2 linked regions of the Callithrix jacchus genome follow. The protein of the gene in region 2 purifies or fractionates together with the protein of the main gene of each other region. This does not show direct contact. Links are inferred from orthologs where the notes say so. Each region holds a gene or a part of one and is shown on either strand. Other genes may lie near its edges. The genes, in order: PAX9 and KDM5B.

Region 1 (9,536 bases), on a different chromosome or scaffold from region 2:
TTATGGAGACTTCACAGCATCTGGCTGGGGTCCTCGAGGGCAGGGCGGAGTCCAGCCGAGCCGGTGGTAGGGATTAAAACTTCCCCAGCCGCACGCCTAGGCCGAGCCGCCCCCGGAGTCCCCGGCTACTGCTCCCCTCGGGCGGGTGTACACCGGGATCCGGCCCGCACCGAGTGTACAGATCCCTCCAACCCTGTGTAGCCCCCCTCCTTCACACTCTAGGCCCGGCTGGCTTCCAGTCTCCCACTGAGTAAATATTTACCCAGAGAGCCGGTCGCCCCTCGGAGGAGGCCTCGACGAGACTAGGGAAAGGCTTTTTGGCTTCTCCCCGGCCTGAGCCAGCTGCAGGCCTTACTGGTTGTGTTTTGGTTTTGGTCTTAAATTTCTCCTTTTAGTTGAAATTCTTCTAATCTCTTTGTGATCTCCTGGGTCCAGACTGGCCAGTACCCAGGGGGCAGTGACTCCAGCTGACTCTTGTTTTTTCTCTAAGTCCTACGTCCTTACGCCCATTGGAACTGACTATACCTGAATGTTCTTTCTCTTCCTTCCTCTATCCCTCTTTCTCTCCCTCAGATCCGTCGTCTCTCGGTGGAGCTCAGTGCCTGCCTCGCCCCAGCACTCTGTCCGCGCCTGGGAAGGCTTCAGCGTCACCCTCTTCTGCTGGGGTCTCACTGACAGCGTCTGCCGCTGCAGCTTTGTCTTCTCTTGCTCCCAGAGCGGGGTCCTCTGCTTGCGGTGGATACTTAGTGGCCCAAAGCACCTAAAATGGGTTCTTTCTGCGCTCTTGACAATGTTAAGAGCACCCAGTACCTGCAACCGACGGTATGAGTGGGGTCTGCGGGGAGCGGCCGGCGCCGCGGATCAGGCCCCCTGCCCACTGAGATGCTACCCCTGATGCGCCCAGGGAGTCCGCAGCATCTAAGGCCACATGGTCACAGCCAAGTCCAGAAGATGGAAAGGGAGAGATGGCATTGAATCTGTGTGAGAACTGGGGAGATGTGTGGCAGACAAAGGAGTTGGTGGGAACAAGAGGGGGTTGTATGTTACCTCCAAATGGCCAGAGCTCTAAACAGTAACCTTTTACCCTAGGCTGGTGCTGTAGAACTGCTAAAGCTTTCGAAGAGTCCCCAGACACCCCGCGGGGCATTAGGTTTTGCATGTTGGTAGGCGAATATCCTCGTATCCGCCTAGCAGCCCTGCCGACTGCGAATTCTCCCTGGGTGCACGGAGGTAGATCACATTCTGCGCAGAGGACGACACTCACTGCTTGTCTGTGAGGAGGAAGGAGGATTCCTGATCAAGTTGCTGGGCATGTTCATTCCCTCCTGAAGCCTAAGGCAAAGTCGTAAACTCCCCTCCGATGCGTCAAAAACTCAATTAATGTATCAGCCTTAAGAAGGCGCTTCTGCTTCTAAAATCTTTAGATTTCCGAAGGCTCTACTTATGTAAAAATGCCAGGCGGTGCCACACGGTGTCACTCAACAGATATTGGGGTCAGACTAGAGTGAAATTTCTATCAAATCAAACTTTAAGAAGATTTTAAACATTTGAAACCAACCAACAAAAAGGGACAAGTTCAAGTATGTCTAGTTGTGGGACTTTTTTCAAGATTACGATTGTAAAGAATGGTGTTTTAGTTCATCTGTATCTTTCACATCCTTCATTCTGTTAGGTAACCGAATTTAGAGTGCATCCTCACTATACAAGTGGGAATCTGGAGATCTGTTCCTTTGCAGAAGCATGGCTGATCACAGTTTTGTCCTGGGTTCTTGTAACTTACTGGCCCAAGATCTGGGACCAGCTTCCCTGGGTTTAACAGAGCCACACACATCCCTGGGGACTGTTGGGGAAGCAGCCTGAATCCTGCGTGGACAAAGAGCCTTGTGGATTGTCAAGTAGCAGTAGCATAGTTCACGACCCCAAGCAGTAAAAACTCCCAAATTCACGAAAATATTTTCTTCTTGTTTATTATTTTTATTCACATTCTCCACAACCCTAACTGCAAATATCAATAACTTTGGCTGCCAACAAGCATACAGCAAACTTTAGATTAGACTTAGCATGAACAAAAGTGAAAATTCAGAAGTAGGCAGAACCAAAGGACCTCTGGGAGCTTAATAGAAGAGGGAATTACATCCATGTGCAGCATCAGTGTCCACTTTCTTGAGACTAGATCTCTTTTATATACAAACAAAACTCTCTAGAAATCGGTTTGGAGAACCCTCACAAACCCTGGCACCAAGGCCCAGCGGCCCAGGACAGTGGCTGAATGTGGCAGAGCCTTGGACTCCGTAGTGAGTGCCCCAGGCACTGGCAATCAATGGACTTGGGGCAGTGCCCTCGCGTTAGCCTCCTGTGGTTCAGTTCCCGGCACACGGCGTGGCCCCTACCTTGAGCCTGCGTGGCTAGTGGTTGGCCAGTCCACCTGGGGGGTGGGGGGCTGCCGCGGGAAGCTGGCGGTAGGAGGAGCCTCCCTGGCCTTAACAGTGGCCCTCACCTGTGGCTCGGGCTCCCCGTAACCTCCTGGTTTCTCTGGCGGGCCTACCTTCTCACACCTGCGCTCTCTCCACCTGGCATGGATTGAAGTTAGGTAGAATCGGCAGGTGACACAGATTCTCTCCGGTGGCCCTCTCGACAGATTTTGCTAAGACAACTCCCCACCCCCGTGCACCGTGGCGCCCGCCTCCCACTTAGGGTTTTAACTTCAATTCTGAGACGTCCATCGTTCCCCTGAGGAGGTCTCCTCGGGTCCCTTCTCCCTTCGAATCATTCATACTCAGATAAGACTCTTTCATTTGTTTATTCAGCATTTTACCAGCCTGATTTTGCTGTCTTTTTGTGTCGCTTCTGGGAAGATGTCAAACACCCATTTTCGTGGTATTTAGTCACCCAGGTGGGGGGCCAGCCTGAAAGAGATAGCGGAAGGAGTTTCCTGGACTGCCCTGCCGCTCACCGGCCCGTACCAATCACCACGCAGCTCGCCCTCAGGCCCGCCTCTTTGAGGGCGTGTCCCCAGTGAGTGATAGACGGAGCCGCCCGGCCCTGCTCAGCCCAGCCCACGTTGCAGCTTAGATTGAAATGCAGAACTCAAGCCTCTTTCACCGGGGCACAGACTTCCTTTTACTTCTTCCTTTTGCACTCTCGCCTCCACCTCCTGGGAAGAAGCGGAGGCGCCGGCGGCTCGGGGTAGCAACAGGCCGGGCCATTGCGGCCCTGCGGAAAGTTTCTGTCTGGTTGTGCGGAACTGGGGCCGGGTTGGTGTACTGCTCGGAGCAATGGGTGAGTGGCGGTGGAAGACTCTGTCGGAGCCGCGAAGGGAGGGAGCGAGCGAGAGAGGGAGGGAGGGAGGGAGCGAGAGGGCGCGCGCCACTAAGCGCTCACATTTTCTATTGACTTTGCTCGTGTTCCTACAAGTTGTAGGAACACGCTAAGGGTCAGCGGCGCACAGGAGTTCAATGTGAACGCTGGCTACTGGCTGGCTATTGATGCCATTTTCTGATTTTAAGAGAAGGGAACTATGGCATCAGCAAGCCCCGCAGCCCCCGTAGCAAACCAAGTTTTGCTTCACACGCGCGCATACACACAAACAAAACAGGAGGGAAAAAAAAGCACCTCTAGCTTCTCCTAGACTTTGTTTAACTGCCCGGGTCTCCAGGAGGAACGCTGGGGATGGGATGAGTAAAGAGGGAGTGGCCCAAGAAATTTAGTGAGGAGCAGGCTACAAGCAGCGCGTTTAGGCATCAAGACCGATTTCCCGTCCTGCTTCGGAGGACTTTTGAACGCTTGGAGAGGCCCTGAGTCTCACCACTTTACTTGGCTGTAGGGGCCTCTGGCACCGCAGGAATGAGGGAGGGGGTCCGATTGGACCGTGACAGTTGGGCCCGTTCGGCTTTGTTCAGGAATCGTTTGGCTTGGGGACAGCCCCTGTCGTTAGTACAGGACGGGTGCGTTCGCCCAGTCCCCGGACGCGCAGGGAGGCCCAGTGGCAGGCGGCTGTCCCAAGCAGCGTGTGCGCGTCTCCGCGCGCTGTGTGTTCGTTTTTTAGAGCCAGCTTTCGGGGAGGTGAACCAGCTGGGTGGAGTGTTCGTGAACGGGAGGCCGCTGCCCAACGCCATCCGGCTTCGCATCGTGGAACTGGCCCAACTGGGCATCCGACCCTGTGACATCAGCCGCCAGCTACGGGTCTCACACGGCTGTGTCAGCAAGATCCTGGCGCGCTACAACGAAACAGGCTCGATCTTGCCAGGAGCCATCGGGGGCAGCAAGCCCCGGGTCACTACCCCCACCGTGGTGAAGCACATCCGGACCTACAAGCAGAGGGACCCTGGCATCTTCGCCTGGGAGATCCGGGACCGCCTGCTGGCGGACGGTGTGTGCGACAAGTACAACGTGCCCTCGGTGAGCTCCATCAGCCGCATTCTGCGCAACAAGATCGGCAACTTGGCCCAGCAGGGTCATTACGACTCGTACAAGCAGCACCAGCCGGCACCGCAGCCAGCGCTGCCCTACAACCACATCTACTCATACCCCAGTCCTATCACGGCGGCGGCTGCCAAGGTGCCCACACCACCCGGGGTGCCTGCCATTCCCGGTTCGGTGGCCATGCCGCGCACCTGGCCTTCCTCGCACTCCGTCACTGACATCCTGGGCATCCGCTCCATCACCGACCAAGGTAGGGGCTCAGAGACAGGGCGTGTGGATGTGCAGCATCTGCCTCCGCATTCCCGCGGAGGTCCCACTATCTGCGGCCTCTGGGACCCTGTCTTTCCTATCACCTGAGGCTTTTTCCTTTGGAAACGTAAGGAGTCTTCCTAGGGGGTGTCCTGATCTCATTAACTTGAAACGCTTGCCCCTGGTTTCCTTGCCACACACAGTCTCCTGCCTCATCTCAAACTACCAGACCCATAACATCCCCCCATCCCCAACACATGGTTCGCATTTTCCACCCTCCCCCGCCTCTCGAGCCGAGGCGGCCTCAGCCCGGCTTGCTCACTTGAAGAGAGCGTCCGGGCCGGACTTGGGGGGCAGCCCGGGAGGCCTGAGCCTGCTTGGGGCTGCCGGCTGCAGATGCCGCTGCAGGCAGAGTAGCTTGCTTGGGGATCACAGACGCCCGGGAGGAGTCCAGCACGCGGTGGAAATTGAAGTATTCTCCCATTTTGGCAATCAGGCCAAATTTGCTCCGGCAGGAAGTTCAAATGTCAACTAATTGGTTTCGTTCTTATGCTTCACTTCATTTTCCTCGGAAATGGAGGTCCCGAAGTTACTACTACTAACTCATTCCCAGACGAGGTCATATTCTCTCTCTCTCTCTCTCTCCCTCTACCTCTCCCCCTTAACAGACTTCACCGTGTGTATCTTAGGAGGGGAAGTGGCATCTGCAGTGATGGAAATAAAATGCAGGCGATTCCATGCCGTTCTTTTTACTGTTCTTTTCCGTTTACCCTGAGCTTTCCGCTTTCCTTTGGGGTTCTCGGGTCCCCAAGAATGCAAGTGGGTATCTATCTAGTTTCTGCACATTTTCAGCAGTGCCACCCCACTGTTCTTTCCTTTCTCACCCCTGACCTTGCCTAGTCCTAAGCGTCCTTTCTGCCTAGTCAGGATTCCCCGAGCCCTCCTGCCCAGTCCGGCTTCAGCAGGAGACCTGAGTTTGTTTTCTTTTACTGAGTTGTTTTTTTTTTTTTTTTGGCGTTAACTTCTTGGTAGGGAGAAAATAAAGTCTAACTGTCCTATATGCAGAATTTAAATAATGTGTAGATAGTCCACTTTCTTAACATATCAGCCTAAAGTTTTAAAAATGTAGGGGGAAAATTAAATAGGAAAGAGGAAAATAGTTCTTTTAATTACTTCCTGCCTTTCTTGGTTGCCACCACATTGGCACAATTATCTTTTTAAGTAATTAAAGTAGAGCTCTGATTTCTCATCTTCTTGTTTTCTGACTGCAAGTTTACAAGAGCCCAGTTTTGTCTTATTTGGAGCTACTTGGAGCCGTAGTTGGAGAGTTTGCCCTTGATTTATAGGATAAACTGACCTCACTGACATTTAAAGGAAGCCCCTGTTCATGGGAAAGTGTGAGATCAGCAGAAATGGGGGCTCACAGGGGGATCTCAATTTCTTAAGATAACTTCAGGCTTGTGCCCACTGACTGCCTTTTGTCTGGGAAGGCAAAAACAGACAGGCAGTTTTGAACCAAAACACAGTTTCCTGGTGCAAATGGGACTCAATCTAATTCTTGAGGGTGGTAGAGGAGGAGACATAGTGGAAAAAAAAAGGCTGACAGTTGAAAAGAAAACTTTTCCTGCCTAGGGATTCTCCCATCAGAGCGAATGTCAGCTGGGAAAGTACTGGAGAATGGAAAGGAGCAACTCTTCCTTATAGACATTGTTGTGATTTTCGATGCCAGCTTTAAACAACCCAGATTCTGACAAATTTGTGACTATAAAATGATGATTTCTACAAAAATGATCACTCTCTTAAAGCACTTGTCAGATGGAAGTGTTTAAAATCAAGTTACAATGGCTTTGTCAAACTTCCATCCTCCACCCATAGGACCCAAAGACAAAAATACATTGTTTGTAGCCTTCACCAATCTCTTTGAAACTAACTATACCTGGTCACTGAAAAATGGCAATGATTCAATATGCACAACTCCAAGTATCATAGTAATTACACCATACAATTTTCTTTGCATCTCCAACAAGAACAGAAAGAATAACTGATGACATTACACCTTAACACTTAATTCTACTTTCATTTTCTTAACCGATTTCATTTTCTCTTTCTTGTATATATATATATACAAATATATATATATATATATATATATATATATATTTAAAACTCTTTTAGGATAACCCTGCCACTGACACCCATGACATGTAGAGTGGTAATTGCAAGATTTAAGTCATATGCACTTATCACATATGTAATGTGTAGAGGTAGAGTATCAAGGGGAGCCCTATGCACATACAAAGCAGAAATCTGTGAACATATCTTTTGCACTGAATTGTGGGAATCATTTAGTTGTTTGCAAAGGACTTTGCAGGTCATTTTGTTCTTTATTGACAAAAGTGCCAGATCCCCACAGTGCAGTGAGCACCAGTGCAGGCACCCTTAGGTCCGGCGCCTTTCTTTTTAGCCAGCCCCAGTCCCAAAACGTTGTCAACCCCCAGTCGGCCTTGGGTTATTAAGACTGAGGAGGTAGAGAACCCGCGGGCGCGTGCAGCCTTAAGAGTTCCTTCCTGATTTGGGTTTCTTCCACTCCTTTGCCCTGGGAGAGCGGAGGAGTGGAGGGAAAGCAAAGACCGGTTGAAAAAGAAAAAAATATCTTCCCTCAGACGTCAGATAACTCGGAAAGGCCTGCATTCAGGCGAGTAAAGCTTCACCAGGCCCTGGGCTGGAAGCACCGGACGGAGGTCGCGGCTGGGCCCAGCGCCCTCGGGAGACCGAGGGCAGGGGGCCGACCCAAGGTCTGAGCCCTCGAGCTCTCTCGTCGCTTACTTGGGTCCCGTCTCATGAGTGGGGCGTGCGGGCTGGGCCTCCGGCCTGACACCTTCTCTTCCTCTCCAGCAGTGAGCGACAGCTCCCCCTACCACAGCCCCAAGGTGGAGGAGTGGAGCAGCCTGGGCCGCAACAACTTCCCCGCCGCCGCCCCGCACGCGGTGAACGGGCTGGAGAAGGGAGCCCTGGAGCAGGAAACCAAGTACAGTCAGGTGAGGAGGCGAGGTCCCGGCCAGGTGGACCGCGTGGCGCCGGGGATTTAGGCGATAAGAAGACTCGGGTCCGTTTCTGAGCCTCCCGGGAGAAAAACCCAGGCCCGCGCCCATTTGCTGCTACCAGCCAGATCCTCTGTGCTTTGGGGTGAAACAGAGGCCCGGGCCTTCGAAGGCGGAGCTTGGGCCTCAACCCCCCGCCAGGGGCCGGGAGCGCTCGCCAGGGCGCGGGGATCTGGGGCGGCCGCTCCCCGGGGCGCGGCTCTGGGAAGCGCCTCCAGGCCTTTCGGTCTCTGGAGGCTTGGGGAGGCGGCTCCCGAAGCCTTTCAGCGACTCATATTGGGGGTAGAGTTAGCCAAAGAAGACCCTTCCGAAGGGCCGGGTCGAGCAACCCTGGGGCTTCGGAGCCGCCTCCACGCCCGCGAAATGCCCGCCCCGGGTCTCGGTCCTGCGGTGGGACGGCGGCTGTGGGGGTCCTCGCGCTCGGACTTTTGCCCCCGTGGCTCTCGGACAAACCCGCGTGGTTCCTCCTGCGAAGAGGGGCACCCAGATAAACGTAACAAAGCTACCATTTTCTCGACTAAAGGTCACATCGTAATCTCCCAAAGAAGTTAGTGAGAAAACCTCAAATTATACGGACTGGCTGTGGACCGTTTAATTTTTCTTTCCCTCCGTCCCTCCCTCAAGTCTCCAAAGGAAAATTTAAAACACCGGTGTTTTCTTTTCCCCCAGAGAAAAGCTAAGCAACCACCACAACAAAAGCTCCAGATTTAAGTCTAAATTCATCACCGCCGTGGAGTCAAGAGTTCAAAACTCTCAAAAACCTGATCTTAAGGCAGTGTAAGATTTCCCCAGCAGACCTCAGTAGGTTTGCAAATTTCTTAATCCAAAATTCTAATTCCAAAGCCTCAAGCTATTCAGTTTTCGTTTTATTATTTTGAAGTCTTAAAATTTTTAAAGTTTTCTTATCTGTCAAAATTAGCCTTTAAAAATTAAGTGGAACGTGTCCCTCTTATTCACATGGCAAAAAATCCTAGTCGTTGTTTTCTGTAACAAATCCCATTTCCACGTCCTCTTCCTTCTCTTATTCGTTGAAGCTGAATCAGAATACATGTCAGTGGCTCTCCAATAGCAAATAGCACAGAAAATGGCAGCAAGGAAAGAGAGCCCTTTTTCTTAGTCTGCTTCTACTGTAAAGAATGCCAATGGAAAATGATAAGGAAGTTTGTCATTTTCTTTTACTATAGGACCCACCCTTAACTTGCAATTTACAAAAAAAAAAAAAAAAAAAAAAAGGCAGAATAGTACAATGGTTAGGAGCTCTGATCTCTGGCTGTATGACTTCTTAGTAAAATATTTAATTTTTTAGAGTTTCTATTTCTTCATCTTTAAAACAGGGAGATGATACTCCCAACCCCAAGAGATGTTATGGGTATTCAATGAGATAATGCAACCATATGGCACATAGTAAACAGTTATTAAGTATTTATTAAGCATTTATTAAGTATATACCTGTGGTTCTAAGTGGCAGTTAAAGAGAGACTTGTAAAAGCAAGTAATATTTATCAGAGTATATCTTGTTCAGAGAGCCCATAGTCAAAAAGCTTCAAGGGATTTTGTTAGGAACAATAGAAAGAGTGTATATAAAGCGTCTACCATAGAAGCAAGCATTTAATAGGCACTCAGTGCTTTTTATTAGGTCATCATTTATTGAAATAACGTTGTGATGTATAGAGTTGAAAAACTTTCTAACTCCACATGTCATTGATGAACCCAGTTTATATATCAAGCAGTCATAATAAAAAAAACTTTATTTTAGAGACAGAG
Region 2 (8,807 bases):
TTGTGTATCTTTGGATATACCATTAGGTTTTGGCTGTATCTTTTGATTGGGGGATATAGTCGATTTAAACTTAGGGTTACTGCCATTTGATGTTAACTGGCTATTTTATCCATTCGTTGATGTAAATTCTTCTTTATGTTGATGCTCTTTACTTTTTGGTATATTTTTAGAAAGGCTCATACTGGTTGTTCCTTTCTATGTATAATGCTTCTTTCAGAAGCTCTTGTAAAGCAGGCCTGGTGGTAATAAAATCTCTGAGTACTTGTTTGTTCATAAAAGATTTTATTTTTCCTTCAATTGTGAAGCTTAGTTTGGCAGGATTCTAGGCTGAAAGTTCTGTTCTTTAATTATGTTGAATATTGGCCCCCACTCTCTTCTGGCTTGTAGGGTTTCCGCTGAGAGATCTGCTGTAAGTCTAATAGGCTTCCCTTTATGGGTAACTTGGCCTTATTCTCTGGCTGCCCTTAGTATTTTCTCCTTCGTTTCGATCCTGGTGAATCTAACGATTATGTGCCTTGGGGTTGCTCTTCTTGAGGAATATCTTTGTGGTGTTCTCTGTATTTCCTGGGGTTGAATAGTGTCCTGCTTTGCTAGATTGGGAAAATTTTCCTGGATAATATCTTGGAAAGTATTTTCCAGCTTGGATTCATTCTCTCCATCACATTCAGGTACACCAATCAAAAGTAGATTTGGTCTTTTCACACAGTCCCATATTTCTTGGAGACTTTGCTCATTCCTTTTCATCCTTTTTTCTCTATTCTTTTCTTGTCGTTTTATTTCATTAAGTTGGTCTTCAACCTCTGATATCCTTTCTTCTGCTTGATCCATTTTCTTTTTTTTTTTTTGAGACGGAGTCTTACACTGTCACCCAGGCTGGAGTGCAATGGTGTGATCTCGGCTCACTGCAACCTCTGCCTCCCAGGTTCAAGCGATTCTCCTGCCTCAGCCTCCTGAGTAGCTGGGATTACAGGCACATGCCATTGTGCCCAGCTAATTTTTGTATTTTTAGTAGAGATGTGGTTTCAACATCTTGGCCAGGCTGGTCTTGAACTCCTGACCTTGTGATCCACCCACCTCAGCCTCCCAAAGTGCTGGGATTACAGGCGTGAGCCACCACACGTGGCCCACATTTTCTTTACCCAATCTATTGTTAATGGGTATTTAGGTTGATTCTATGTCTTTACTGTTGTGAATAGTGTTGCAGTGAACATACATTTGCATGTGTATTTATAATGGAATGATTTATATTCCTTTGGATACCCAAAGGAATATAATGGCATTGCTTGGTCTAATATACCTTGGTATATACCCAAAGGAATATAATGGCATTGCTCGGTCTAATGGTATTTTGGTCTTTAGGTCTTTGAAGAATAGCCACACTGTCTTCCACAATGGTTGAACTAATTTATACTTCTACCAACAGTGTATAAGCATTTGTTTTTCTCCACGACCTCACCAGTATCTGTTACTTTTTAATAATAGCCATTCTGGCCGGGCGCGGTGGCTCACACCTATAATCCCAGCACTTTGGGAGGCCGGGGCGGGTGGATCACGAGGTCAAGAGATCAAGACCATCCTGGTCAACAAGGCAAAATCCTGTCTCTACTAAAAATACAAAAATTAGCTGGGCATGATGGCGCGTGCCTGTAATCCCAGCTACTTGGGAGGCTAAGGCAGGAGAATTGCTTGAACCCAGAAGGCGGAGGTTGCGGTGAGCTGAGATTGTGCCATTGCACTCCAGTCTGGGTAACAACAGCAAAACTCCCATCACCAAAAAAAAAAAAAATAGCCATTCTGACTGGTGTGAGATGATAGCTCATTGTGGTTTTAATTTGCATTTCTCTAATGATCAGTGATGTTAGGCTTTTTTTCATATGACTGTTGGCCACATGTATGTCTCTTCTGGAAAAGCATTTTTTCTTTTCGCCTACTTTTTTAAAGGGGTTTTTTGCTTTTTTTCTTGTAAATTTAAGTTCTTTATAGATGCTGGATATTAGACCTTTGTCGGATGCATACTTGCAAATATTTTCTCCCATTCTGTAGGTTGTCTGTTCACTCTGATGATAGTTTATTTCACATTTCAGAAGCTCTTTAATTAGATCCCATTTGTCAGTTTTTGGTTTTGTTGCAGTTGCTTTTGGCATCTTCATGAAATCTTTGCCTGTGTCTGTGCCTATGTCCTGAATGATGTTGCCTAGGTTGCAATCCAGGGTTTTTATAGTTTGGGGTTTTACATTTAAGTCTTTAATCCCTCTTGAGTTAATTTTTGTATATGGTGTAAGGAAGTGGTCCTGTTTTAGTCCTCTGCATATGGCTAGCTGTTATTCCAGCACCATTTATTGAATAAGGAATCCTTTCTCCATTGCTTGTTTTCGTTAGATTTGTTGAAGCTCAGATAGTTGTAGGTTTGCATTTTTATTTTTGAGTTCTCTATTCTGTTCCATTGGTCTGTGTGTCTGGTTTTGTACCAGTCCATTTCTCTATTTTAACTTGCTTTCATTTCTGTAGCCCAACATATAACTCTACCCCCTTTTATTTAGGGGAGAGGAGCAATATCATTGTCTATGAGCCTAGTGTGCTCTGCTTAAGTGAGTACACTAATTACTCAGTAAGTGGAGAATAAAATGCAGGAGGAAAATGTGGTTCAAGCCACAGTAAGATTTATATTTGCTTTTCTTTCTTTCTTTCTTTTTAAGACAGGGTCTTGCTCTGTGACCTTGACAGGAGTTCAATGGCATGATCATGGCTGACTGCATCTTTGAACTCCTGGGTTTAAGTGATCCTCCTGTTTTAGGCTGTCCAATAGTTGGGACTACAGTTATGTGCCATCGCACCTGGCTGAGGTCTTTAATTTTGTAGAGATGAGATCTTGCTGTGCTGACCAGGTACATAGGCATGAGCCACTGTACCCAGCCTAAAACGTGTCAGATCTTAATGTTTCCATAATTAAGTTCAACTTTAGGCACTTGTTTAAAGAACTCCATGCTCAGCTGGCTTGGTGGCTCATGCCTGTAATCCCAGCACTTTGAGAGGCCGAGGCAGGTGGATTACGAGGTCAGGGGTTTGAGACCAGCCTGGCCAACACAGTGAAACCTTTCTCTACTAAAAATACAAAAAGAAAATTGGCTGGTGGCGGGCGCGTGTAGTCCCGGCTACTCGGGAGGCTGAGGCAGGAGAATTGTTTGAACCCGGGAGGTGGAGGTTGCAGTGAGCCGAGGTAGTGCCTGGGCAACAGAGCGAGGCTCCATCTCAAAAAAAAAAAAACCAAAATATCTCCATGCTCAGCCACAACCCCACAAAAATCAAATCAATAAATTTATTAATAATTTAAAACATTGCAAGAATTTGTAAGTTACATTTCTAGACCAGAACTCGCAAAAGCAGTCTCCTCTGAATTTCATACCAGTAGTAATAAACGTAATGATTACAGAAAAGATGACTTTTTTCTTCATTCCTAGGCCTTGTCAGCTTCAAGGCTTTAATTGAAGAATCTGAATTGAAGAAATTCCCAGACAATGATCTTTTGCGACACCTTCGCTTAGTCACACAGGATGCAGAGAAGTGTGCCTCTGTTGCACAGCAATTGCTTAATGGCAAAAGGCAAACTAGGTATGTGCTTCTGACTGCATGAGTTTGGATTCCTTGGCACCTATGTTTGGAAACCTGTTGTTGACTCCTTCTGTCTTGAATTTCTGTGACCACTTGGGTGTGGTGGACATACATATGTTCTTATACGGCTTCCTTGGGCCTTTGTCTTTATAGATACCGATCTGGTGGAGGGAAATCCCAAACTCAGTTGACAGTGAATGAGCTCCGGCAGTTTGTAACACAGTTGTATGCTCTTCCATGTGTCCTCAGTCAAACACCATTGCTAAAGGTAACCACAGAGGGATATGTGGGAAAATACTTGGGTAATCCTGTATTTTGTAAATAAATTAGATTGACAGTACTAAGTAATCTTCTTTGATGATTAATATGTACATTTATCTGCAGATGCTTTTAATAAGACATTGAGTGGTATGTGTGTAGAAAGAGATTATAGTAGGCCCACAGAGGGGAAAAAAGTTGGAAATTTTTACTTTGAAAGTGACCTCAGCTAGTTGAAGTTGGGATAAGCTCTCCGTTATAGTCACTTAGTGTTTGCTGTCAGTTGGCTTATGTATTATCTTATTACCTATGTTATTACTAGAATAGAATTAAAGGAATGGTAAAGGATCTCATTGAATATGAATTTAAGATTCTAAGTTTTAAAGAAGCCAATTACTGAAATTACTGTTTTGATGCAACAACCTGTGTATTTTTTTAGGATCTCTTGAATCGTGTAGAAGATTTTCAACAGCATAGTCAGAAACTACTCTCTGAGGAAATGCCTAGTGCTGCGGAGCTGCAGGACTTGCTAGATGTCAGCTTTGAATTTGATGTTGAACTTCCACAGCTTGCTGAGATGCGTATCCGTCTGGAACAGGCCCGTTGGCTGGAAGAGGTGCAGCAAGCTTGCCTTGACCCCAGCTCCCTTACTTTAGATGATATGAGACGTCTCATAGACCTAGGGGTAGGGCTGGCCCCATATTCAGCAGTGGAGAAGGCTATGGCCCGGCTGCAGGAATTGCTCACAGTGTCAGAGCACTGGGATGACAAAGCCAAGGGTCTCCTCAAGGCCAGGTAAAAAAGCAAACATTTCTCTTTCTTTGGGAAGGTTGGACAGTTATCTCCATCTTAAGCATAGAGCATAGTGATTGGTATGTGGCAAGTGCTCGGTAGCTGTAGTTACTATGCATGTGGAAGATACGTAGAAATAGCTGAGATACCTGGAGCTGCTTTGGGGCCTGAATAAAATAATGTTAATTTTTTTTAATTTTACTGATTATAAAATGAATAATTCAATTGGACACACCTTCTCTAGAGTTGGTTTAATGAAATTTCCCTGGATCCTGTTAATATCCTGTCTTTGGGAGAGGAAAATATTTATAAATGGGTGAAGCTGTTTAAACTCAGTTAGCATATATGTTTCCAAGGAGTCTTACAGAGAAATGTCTGAGAGTTAATAGGGACTGTTCTGTAAGAAAACAGTGCAGATAATTTTCAACAAGAGCAGACAATGCCATTTGAAAAAATTTATTTGCCATACTGAATTTTCTTTGACATGCTATCTTTTTGGCAATCATAAGAAAAATGAACCATCATATAAAATGCTTAGTAGTCTGTGTTTGCATTTTGTAGGCCACGGCATTCATTGAATAGCCTTACTACAGCAGTAAAGGAGATTGAGGAGATCCCCGCATATCTGCCCAATGGTGCAGCTCTGAAAGACTCAGTGCAGAGAGCCAGAGACTGGCTTCAGGATGTAGAGGCCCTGCAGGTTGGTTTAAAAAAGTATATATGAATGTGTAAGTGCATCCATAAAGAGCAATATTGGAAAGTTGTTAAGAATAATGTGTTGGATTTCACTGCACAGATTCAATATTTTAGGGGTTGACCAGAAGACTAATTCTATTCATACTTATTTGGATGTATTTACCAGCTATTATCCTGACCAGTTGTCTCAAATATTTAAAGCTTAGGTAATGTAACCAACTTTTTCTGGGATCTGGGGAGTCTTTTATAACAAACTTGAGTACTTGACTGCAGATTGAGGCCAAAGAGCTAACAATGAAAAGTAGTGAGAGAAAGAGTCATTTTCTGCTTTTTGATGAGTATTATTACCTCTTATTGGCTTGTCCACAGCTTTGGAGTTCAAACAATCAGTAATAGCAGATTCAGTGAATCTAGTTATATGATTAAATGCCCAAACTAAACCCCAAGGCCCAGAATTTTCATGAAGTAGTGACTTATATGTACCCTCCCAACCCTACAAAAGAAATAAAACCTACCCTGTTCCAAAGTAATTATCCAAAGTATCCAAAGTCATTTCCACCAAGTATTTATGGTCTTATTATGGTAGATGTTACACTTATTAGCTTGTATGTAAGTTTTTTAAAAAATTAAATTAACTTATACCATTGTTGAGGTACAAAAATAATGCATTCTGTAATATGATTTTCCCAGCGTTCAGATGACTGGCTGAATGACTTAATTTGAAAAGTGTTTGATGGAGAATGTCTCCTTTATCTTTCTTGTCATCATAAACCAATAGGTCTTACTGACCTGTTGGGGAAAAAAAAAAGTCTCAAGTTCTGTTTTGTTGAAGCCTTCAGATTTTAGGAATAAAATACTGTCTTTCTTTCTGAATATTTGTGTAATTTTATGTGGTGCTAATTGGCTAGTCACTAACAAGAAGTACCAAACAGGACAATTCTAGACAAATGTTTGCAAGAAAACATCTGGGCATCTGTTCTTGTTAATAGGGAAAAGAAGATACGTTGTTTAAGGAGATTGCATAATTAAGGACTTAATCCAGCAAGCCAAAGAAAAAAACCAAGAAAGTATTAACTATGGACATAAACTTCCTTAATGAGAGTTTAGATGCAGGTGCTTGTCAATGATAGTTGGTACTGTAGTAATTAGTTTTAGTCATGGTCCTCCTTTTTACTCCATGACTGGTAGCAGCCAGAAGGTGCAGTCATGGCAATAAGGAGAGGCTGGCATGTAAAATCAGAAGGCAAGGGCATGCTTCTGTTGTGTTTATTTCCTTCATATTTTATATGTATATGCTACTTACTATGCTTGCAACAGTGCCATTAAGGGCAAAAGGCAAGTTTTGCTTCATTCCTGAAAAAGTAGCTTACATTTTTTTGCATACTATATTTAAGGACTAATAGACATAACAACAAGGAACTACTTCATATTTAGTGGATTATTTATTTTTAAATGTTATACGGTATTCTGTTTTACACATAGAAGTACTCTGATATCTAAATTAAATATAGGAATAGCATGTAATTTATGAGTCACATTCTTAAGTGTCAGTCGGAACATTTATGCCCTAACAGTTTTAATCCTGTAAGAATAAATATCAAAGGCAGTGAAATAGCAATCTACCCTATCTTCCCTAGTTGTCCCAAAAATGTCCCTTATGGCTGTTTGTCTAACCCAGGAACACACGTTGCACCTAATTGGCATCGCGTTACGTTTCTTTAATCTTGCAGTGTTTTCCTCCCCACCGCAGTTTTTCTCATGTAACTGACAGTTATCCTATGGTATGCTCTACTTTCTGGATTTGTCTGGTTGTTTCTTTGAGGAGTGTTCTATTCTCCGTATTTCCTATAAATTGGAAGTTAGTTTTAAAGCCCTGATGTAACCAAGTTAAACATTTTTTAATAGAATGAATTAAAATGTCAGGTAATATTGTATATTCTGTATTGTATCACAACAGGAGACATATTTGGATGGCCTACCATTAGTGATGCTAAGTTTTACATTGTACTGGAGTAACACCAATCCATTTCATCCTCTGTAATCTAATGCTTTTATTCTCCTTCTAGTTTGGCTATCTCTTTCTCAAAATATAGTTCCCAGACCAGCAGTATTAGCATTGGCAATAGCAGCTTCACCTGGGAACTTGTTAGAAGTGCACATTTATGGATCTTCCTCTAACCTACTGAATTAGAATATTTGGGGATGGGACTAAGGAAACTGTTTAAATAAGCCTTCCAGATGATTCTTATGCATGCTAAAGTTTGAGAACCACTGGGCTATCTCAACTAATATTTTAGTTTCCTGAATAATTTATGTTGAGTTGCTTTAATTCATCACTGGTGAGTGGATTGGAGTAAAATATTGTTTTGCTTTTTATTTGTGTAATTCAGTGTGAAAGTCTTGAGTTAGTACAAACCTTCGTTTCTGTTGAACTCCATCTTAAAAAAGAAGAAAAACCACCACCACCAAAAAAACTCAAACTAGGTTCTCTGAAGTATTTGTGTAATAAAGGAACAAATGTCACTTCTACCCCCAACATCATTGGTTAGTTGGCAGTTTATTTAATCACGATTTGTGAATTTAGCATGCTAAGATCATGAACCAATCTGAATTATGCTTTTTCTATTTTTCATAGAGGTATTCTTTTTTCCAAACTGCTATAATTTTTCTTATTAGGCTGGAGGACGTGTGCCAGTGTTAGACACACTCATAGATCTTGTTACACGAGGCCGATCTATCCCGGTACATCTGAATTCTTTGCCAAGACTGGAATCCCTAGTAGCTGAGGTTCAGGCATGGAAAGAATGTGCTGTTAATACATTCTTGACTGAGAATTCTCCATATTCTCTCTTAGAGGTAAGTTTATAACCAGCTCATCTGCAAGACCTTAGATCTCCTAGTTTGGTAAAACATGCAATTCATCACGTACAAAGACGACATCATAGATTAATCTATATTCTGTGAGTTGTTATTCCAGTAAAGCCAGGGTGATTCTTCTAATCTTCTGGTGAAGCAACCTTTAAATATTTTCTTGATTCATTTAGGATAGCAGTTAGAATCCAAAGAAGAAAACTTTTTCCTGTTGGGTGAAATTCCTCTGTGTTGAAATTGGACTCTTAAACTTGACCATGCTTCACCCACCTGAATTTAGTAAGCCTGATAAATGATCTCCCCTATCTTTTAAAAGTGCTTTAGGCCAGGCTCTATGGGTCACGCCTGTAATCCTAACACTTTGGGGAGGCCAATGTGGGTGGATCAACTTGAGGTCAGGAGTTCGAGACCAGCCTGGCCAATATGGTGAAGCCCCGTCTCTACTAAAAATTAAAAAATTAGCCTGGCATGGTGGCGTATACCTGTAGTCCCAGGTACTTGGGAGGCTGAGGCAGAATCACTTGAACCTGGGAGGGGGAGGTTGCAGTGAGCCGAGATTGTGTCACTGCACTCTAGCCTGG

What was found.
Region 1: the proteins of KDM5B (region 2) and PAX9 purify together in Homo sapiens (affinity purification with western blotting, with the first as the bait; 3 studies listed by BioGRID). This does not show direct contact. The link is inferred for Callithrix jacchus from reciprocal best matches to the Homo sapiens genes KDM5B and PAX9.

Annotation. Positions count from the first base shown.
Region 1 is NC_133509.1:71,287,548-71,297,083, forward strand, and holds the start of PAX9 (paired box protein Pax-9), read left to right. Parts: upstream 1-3,350; 5' UTR 3,351-3,843; coding exon 3,844-4,672; intron 4,673-7,566; coding exon 7,567-7,709; intron 7,710-9,536. UniProt on the Homo sapiens protein: Transcription factor required for normal development of thymus, parathyroid glands, ultimobranchial bodies, teeth, skeletal elements of skull and larynx as well as distal limbs.
Region 2 is NC_133520.1:29,768,539-29,777,345, reverse strand, and holds part of KDM5B (lysine-specific demethylase 5B), read left to right. Parts: intron 1-3,458; coding exon 3,459-3,609; intron 3,610-3,762; coding exon 3,763-3,877; intron 3,878-4,306; coding exon 4,307-4,662; intron 4,663-5,220; coding exon 5,221-5,359; intron 5,360-8,031; coding exon 8,032-8,211; intron 8,212-8,807. UniProt on the Homo sapiens protein: Histone demethylase that demethylates 'Lys-4' of histone H3, thereby playing a central role in histone code. Does not demethylate histone H3 'Lys-9' or H3 'Lys-27'. Demethylates trimethylated, dimethylated and monomethylated H3 'Lys-4'.